2 linked regions of the Caenorhabditis elegans genome follow. The protein of the gene in region 1 interacts with the protein of each later gene in a pairwise test. Each region holds a gene or a part of one and is shown on either strand. Other genes may lie near its edges.

What was found. Proteins that work in one complex are often made in the same cells at the same time.
Region 2: the proteins of ztf-1 (region 1) and mmad-1 interact in a two-hybrid assay, tested with the Caenorhabditis elegans proteins (one large-scale study listed by BioGRID).

The regions. Positions count from the first base shown.
Region 1 is NC_003281.10:8,790,697-8,794,449, reverse strand, and holds the start of ztf-1 (Heterogeneous nuclear ribonucleoprotein C homolog), read left to right. Parts: upstream 1-2,098; 5' UTR 2,099-2,111; coding exon 2,112-2,393; exon of another isoform or gene 2,394-2,623; intron 2,624-2,778; coding exon 2,779-2,912; intron 2,913-2,961; coding exon 2,962-3,046; intron 3,047-3,356; coding exon 3,357-3,470; intron 3,471-3,518; coding exon 3,519-3,610; intron 3,611-3,753. Other genes in the region: F54F2.14 (uncharacterized protein), read right to left, coding at 2,205-2,244, 2,789-2,871.
Region 2 is NC_003281.10:13,547,314-13,551,066, forward strand, and holds the start of mmad-1 (Methylmalonic aciduria and homocystinuria type D homolog, mitochondrial), read right to left. Parts: upstream 1,693-3,753; 5' UTR 1,692-1,692; coding exon 1,626-1,691; intron 1,459-1,625; coding exon 1,410-1,458; intron 1,358-1,409; coding exon 1,284-1,357; intron 1,123-1,283; coding exon 903-1,122; intron 602-902; coding exon 171-601; intron 1-170.

The DNA of each region.
Region 1 (3,753 bases):
TCTCGACAGCTAGATTGATTTTAAGATTCTTGCAAAGACCGGTGGTGGTGCGAGCAAAATGTGGCGCGCAGAAAGACGACGAGAGCAAAAACTGGGAAGACGACGAAATGAGTATTAAGTCAGAAGTCAGAGTCAGAGTATTTTATTCAGAGTTCAAGAGCAATTGAGAGTTGGTTGGTTGGTTGGTTGTCTCAAACATTTTACACTGTGATGGAACGGCGACAACCTACAATTAGAAGTTAGCGACTATTAAACAGAAAATTGCTCCGATTTTCAGATATCATCGGTATATTAAAATAGAATTACCCGTGGCACGTCATTATCATCTGTAAGAGTGGATGTCTCATTTGAACCAAGACCAGGATTGTCAATGAATTGTTGAAGTTCTTCGGCAAGTTTTTGGTTTTTCGGCGACTTCTGGAAAGAAAACCAAAATATATGAAACTCTACTAAACTTTTAACCGAAATTATGTGATTTAAGTTGGAAATTTAAAGGGTTTTGAAGGGAAACTATACTATGCCCTGTAAAGATTCGTAAGTTTATGCATTAGTGTGTATAAAAGAAAATGAGAAGTTTGCAAAGCTATGTGGAGCAGGAAAGTAGAAATAGCTGATAATGAGAAACTTGTTCGCATTAACAATATGAGATCAACGAAGAAAACGAACAACTTCCGAAGAAAAAAGGTGAAAACTAAAAAAACCACTTTACTGCGTTCAAAGTTACATTTTTGTTAAGTTTCTCGCAGCGCCCTGGTGTTAAACAAGCGGCAGATTGAAATTCAGAAAATTTTAGTTAAAAAACAATGAGAAAAGTCCAGTAGATTATCGAAAAACGCATAAAAATTAGTTGAAAAGAGAAAGAAATTTCGTTTTCGAAAACAACAAGTTTTGATTACGGTCATCAAAAGTCCGCAAACACCGCCAGCATACACATTCTGATTTCTACAGTACTCGACGGTGCTTGCTAATTTTATTTTCTTATTTTTCTAAATATTTTCCTTTTTGGCTCAATTTCACCTTACCGAATCCAGATTTCCTCCATTTTTAAAATAAGTTGGGTCCAGAATAATTCCTTCCGAAATAGCTTCGTTGATTGGTTTACGAGTATTCACTGAAAATTCAGTAGTAGTGGAAAAAGAGATTTTTTTGGAAAAACCAACCTGCTGGAGTGACGGTTGCTTTTGGAGCGACAATTTCTCCCTTTTTGACTGAAGGTGACAGACGGTAACCGATCTGAAAAAAATTAGGGTTTTTGATAATAAATAATAAACTTACTTTGATACGTCCGTTGGGTTCAACTGCGGACAAACTGTTTCCATTTTTCACGGTCGGTGCGTGCAACGACGACTTGTCCCGTGGTGGAATTGTCGATGTCCTGTGCCGATGTCCTGTATCTTTTCTCTTTCCTCCAACTGTTCTCTTTAGCAATGTTCTATTGTGGTTATGACGTTCTCTGGAAATAAAACCTGTGAACTTTATTCCTGAAATTCCTATAAACTCACTTTATCTTCTCTTTCTTGACTGTGCAAGCAACGATTAACGTTCCCAACAAGAGGAACAGGGAAATGTCGATGAGAAACATTGAGACTGAACGTTTTCCCATATTTCCACACCCTATATACCCACCAAATGGAAAGAGGAGGGAAGGTTACGTTATAACTATTTATTTTGTATGTAAATTAACTAAACTTTTTTAATGAACTTAATAAACTATCAGACATTTAACCAACACGTAGACTAGAAAATATCTGATTTGCCAGGCTTCGTAGCGGGATGAGGCGTAGAATCCTATAAGAGCAAAGCTTATAATGCCGTTTAAAAATAGTTAAATAAGAACATGCGCATGCGGCGCTCCTATTCCAGTTTTCGCAAAAAGCGTCATTGTTTTTGCCTTCTTTGTAAATCAATGCAGTACTAATGGTCGAGCTTTTTAGAATAATTCCATCGAATGTCTCTCTCTCTCTCTCTCTCTCTCTCTCTCTCTCTCTTTTTTAAAGTTTTAATCGAAAATCATTATCACGGTATTCCGTGACCTGCGCAAATATCTTTACTTGCTCCTCCTTCTGAACGTAAGGAGATCAAAATAATTTTCCAATAATTTCAGAAAAGAAATGAGCGAAGCACTTGAGACCGGTGATCCTTCGCCACCACCTCCAATCGTTTCCGAAAATGGAAAAACATATTATTATCTGAATTCTCAAGAATCACAAGCTCCTAATACACCTTCTCCACAGGAAGTCCCACCTAAAAAAATGACGAATTTGTTTGAAAGTGGACCTTTGGTTTATGAAGATGTTGCAGCCGACATTGAAGCTGTTACCGAGCGTGCTTCTCGGAGGCACTACGAAAATAAAATGGTAGTAAAGAATTCGCGGGAAATGTTTGATAATGTTGTGAGTTTATATTACACTCAAAATGGCCCAAAAAACCCAATCGAAAAACGGTGCCATTAAAAAATGTGTCAAAAATCTTACGGCGGTTCATAATTCCGAAGTGGCCTAGTTTTTCCTAAAATCTCTAATTTTTACAAACTTTTCAGTATTGCAACAATCGGCAATTATTTTTATTTCATTATTCAAATAAAAATAAATTTCCGACCGCTGCGACATGGAAAAGTTTGCAAAATCAGAGATTAGCTCATATAAGATAATTTTAAAGTGTGATGTAGCATTTTAGTGAAATTTTTAAAGTCCCGTAATGAAATTCGGGCTTTTTGGATTATTTCGAGCTTAATAAAGAAACTAAGTTACTCACTCATTCATTAAATGTATTCTACAGAATATCTTACCTGATGGACGATACTATTGCTGCCTTTGTAATCGTCCGTATAAAACACATGCCACATTGACAGCTCATCTGAGAGGATATCATTTGCGAAATGAAAGTTCTTGTGATGAACCAGGCTGTAATTTGTGAGTTATTTCAAAAAATTTAAAATAAAATTGATTATGAAAATTTCAGCTTGTCGTTCACAGATCAAGAAAAGAAGAGACATCGGAGAACACATGATAAAAAGAAAAAAGAAAGAAATTCTCAAGAATCTATGGTGAGGAGACCTTTTTCTTAAAACAAAGATTGCAAGGGTGTCATCGAGAAATTTTTCCGATTTTTAAAAGAAAAATCTGAATATTTTTCGCCTTGTTCGGGGTTTTTTAAAGATTTCCGGAAAGCCACATAATTTAATTTTTCAATTAATTTTTGTTTATGTTGATGAAACAAATGAGATAACATATAAATTTCTTTCGATTTTACAAAAAAATCCAAAAGAAAATTTCCTTTTGCGTTTTTAGAAAAAAAATTCGAAAAACCGGCGCCCTGCCGAGATACAAGTAACATAACATGTTTAATTTTTAAAGGTAATCCATGAAAAAATACAAAAAGCTGTGAGAAGATTGGACTATCCAGGTGAAGATGAGCTTCGGGACCACTTAAACGGTTCAACTGAGGTCCAAGGCACAATTAGGACAATGGTTGGACATTTTTTTCACTTTTAAAAATATATTATAACACAATTTCAGACCAAAAAAGGAAAAATAAGATACGCCTGCCTTAAATGTCCTCATTCAGTCTTCAACGCTTACCATGCAGCTCGGCACGTTGAAATGCATAAGTAATGATGTTATTTATTGAAAAAATTTAAATAATTCGAACAAAATTTCACTCTATTTATAATCTCGAGTGTGATTTTTTTTGTTAAAAAAAGTAAAATTTTTGAATTTTTCGCTCAATTAAAAAAAACCGAAAAATTGTTTC
Region 2 (3,753 bases), 4.8 Mb from region 1:
TTTTGTAGAATCCCAGAAATAAAAACATAATTTTCGTCCTTTTTTTGGAAATCTGAAAAATGATTATCATTATTAGATAGCAGGAAGAACATCAAAATAAATTTTTTCAAACATAATTTTACGTTTTTTTTTTTCAAAAATTCGGTTTCAGAAATTCCAACATCCTGTACCTCCTGAGTAACCTTCTTCAAAATATCCCTGACGGCATCCCCATCAACAGGAGCATCAGTGAAAATAGTTCCCACAAATGCGTTGGATCCCCAGCATGCGTGTTGCAGAACTTTGCAGCATCCGAGGTCTTCAATCTTGAAGCCCATTTGTTTGTAGGCGTCATTGGTCTCGAAAAGTGTATGATTGGTGTAATCACCCATATACGGGCGGCCGGAAGATGGATCAATGAAATCAGCCCAATAGCCGAAACGATGGAGAGTTGAGCAAATCGCGTTGGCGGACATGATGAATGAGGCGGTGAGCTTTTCACGTTCCTCTTCCATTGCTTCACTCCATGCTTTCATGTCGAATTCTGACTTTTGAGTTAGATTGAACACGGTCACGTTGTTCATCTTTTGAGTCTCCATTTGTGGGAATAGGTATTTCATTTCTGGAAAAAAAAATGATTTTTGAATTTATGAGTTTTAAATTCAAAATAAATTTTAAATTCACTTTTTGAGCTTCACAAATATTGCGATTTGCCGAGTATGACGACCACGGTAAATTTTTTAAAAAGTCGATTTACCAAATTTACCGCACACCCCTGCTAAATATAGTTCTGCAAAGCATTTTTTTTTTCAATTTTTCACTAATATTAACTCGAACGTAATCTCAATTTCCGATTTTTTGAAAGACTAATTTTTTAAAAGTTCATTTTCAGAATTTCTATAAATCCCAGCTTTCCAGCTCACCTTTTTTGAGCAACTTTGGTGCTTCAATAGCGGAAAGTTCAATCTCAACGTCAGCCGCATTTGCCTGAATCTCTTCCATTGCTTCTTCCTTCAATTGAGCCAAATGTGTACGGTCAACTTCGATATTTGTATTGGAGAGCAAATTGATCAAATTGTGCTCCGTATCGTCCATCACACGCTCGATTTTTGAGTTTTCCACTTGTTGGCGGATGCTCAATGGCTGCAAATTTTGAGTTTTTGAAAAAATTTAAAATTAAATTGGAATTATTTTAAATGGGTAAATTTTCGAAAATTCAAATTTTTTACATGAAATTTGATTTTGGAGTAAAAAATCAGATAATTTTGGGTGTCTGTTTGGAAAATCAATTTTCAGAAATTTACCTTGTGAGCAAACGAGACGTCTCCCTGGAACGGGTACTGACTGTCATTTGGGCCGAGAAGCGAGTTTTGGCGAGCTGAAATGTGGAAAAATTGTGAAAATGTCGATCGAAATTTTGAATTTCTTACGAGTTGTGCCCTTTCCGACGAACACGATTGGAATTGGGTCGATTTGGAGCTGAAAATTTGAATTTTATGATTTTCAGCACATAAGCAGCTAAAACGCTTACTTTTTTTCAAAAGAAAAATTGAATTATTCGGTAAATCAAAAAGAAATTAATTTTTCTGAAACAAAAGATTTTTCGATAAAATCTGCAATTTTTCAGCCATTATCCAAACTCTCACCTGCGTTGAAAATGCGGCAACACGTTGGGTAAACGCACGCATTTGGGGACCTTTGGCGGACAACATCCTGCAACAAAACTTGTATTTTAATTTAAAATTTTACTTTTAATTCGAAAGAAATCAATAAGGCAAGAAAAAACGAAGAAAATATTGAAAGACATGTTTGTTGGAAATTGAGTGACAGCTAGAGGGAGAATTACGCAGACGGTTAGAGAACACTGAAATTGGGGAGACCGCCGAGAAAACGAGAAAAGGGAAACCGAAGAACGAGCGCGACGAATCATGTGAACTTTATTATTATTATTATTACTGAGAACACTAGTAATTACTGATCAAATTAGTTGTTATCTAAATTCCTAATTTTTTGTTTCTATTTTTCAACCTTGTGACATATTGATTATATCATCAAAAAGGCGTGTACTTTTAAGAAGTACAGTAATCTTAAAGTGTTTCTTTTTTTTCTTTGACCTAAATTGTTAATTTATTGTGTTTGAGTATTAAACACATAATTCTAAGATTGCGTACTGTGCAACATATTCAACGAGTAAAACATCTCGTTGCAAAAACTACAGTAATTCTTCAAATGACTACTGTAGCGATTGTGTCGATATACGGCCTCGATTTAAAAAACATTTATTTATCGATAGAACATTAAAACTAAGCAAAAAAAGAGATAATAATACGAAAAAACAAAGTAACTCCCACTATTCGCAAATAATTTTTTTTTTCACTATTTGAGCCCGTAAATCGACACTACAGTAGTAATTTAAAGAATTACTATAGTGTTCGAGAATTACTATCTCGTAAGATATTTTGCGCGTTAAATATGTTAGTTAATACGCATTCTCCGAATTTTTCACAAAATAAAAAAGGTTTAAATACATAAAAAACCGAGACAAGAACAACGATTCTTAGAATTCTTCCAAAAGTTCGAAAACTCGAGAAATTTAAAAATTCAAAAAGAAAATAAAATTTAAAAATAATCTTTGAAAAGATTTAAAGCCAAAAAGTTAAAAAAAATCCAAAAATCCAAATTTACTATCATTAAAAAGCCTGAAATAATCTGAAAGTCTTCGAAGTCTTGTTCAAAGCCAACTTTTTTGTTTTGATTTAAAATCTGTTGGGTGAACGTGAGAAGTGCAACAATTCAAGAAAAGAGAGCGAAAAGACAACAAGTGTAACGATGAAAGAAGGGTCACAGTTGTTGCACGTGAAAAAGAATTGTCTAGAGGCGAATAGAAAGTTTTCGGATTTTCAAAGTCCACTTCGGAGTTTTTTTCAGTGGACTTTCGTGATGTTGGAACCCAAGAATGCAATTTTAGGTTCTCGATATTTTTTGAAAATTTTCTAAAAAAGAATAAACACTTTTAGAATTGCAAAAAAGAAATATCGATTTTCGAGCTTTTTTTTCAAAATTTTGAGTTTTCGAACGGTTTTTCTTTAATAAAATTATTTATCGCATATTTTTGAAGTTTTTGAAACCTTCCAGTTAGTAATCGGAAATAAAATTTTCTCTAAATTGTCTCAAAAAGCCAAATTTGAATGGTAGCCAAGAAGTGGGAGGAGCTGGCACTCGGACTTTTTTTTTCAGAAATTAATTATTAAAAATCGAGTTATAAAATTTAGCAAAATATCTGAAACAAGGGGTTTTGGACCACATTTAAAAAAATAATTTTTAAAGTTATAAACAAGATCGCTTCATTTTATGGTGCAAGACAACTATGTATAGAAATTCTATAAAAATCTGGAAATTTTCAAATTTTCAGTAGGAAAATAAAATGGAGTATATATATATATATATTTACATGTCAAATGGTACAAGAATATCTCGGAATAATTTTAGGGGGATTTTGGGGACCCGTGTGCATAATAAATTGAACAAATCAAAGTGAGGAGCTGGTGGGGAAAAACGGGGATTCGGGGGAAATGGTGTGAGTGATGAAAATGGGAAGAAAAACAAGTAAAGCTATATTCACAAAATTAACAGAGACTGAAAATATTATTTTTAGAGGGAAAAGTTGAAAATTTGAGAAAAAAACCGATGAAGGTTTGAAAATTGGATTTTTTTCAAAATTCGAAAAGTTTTTTCCAAATAAACCAGTTCTTTAATCTATTTGTATAAATTTTT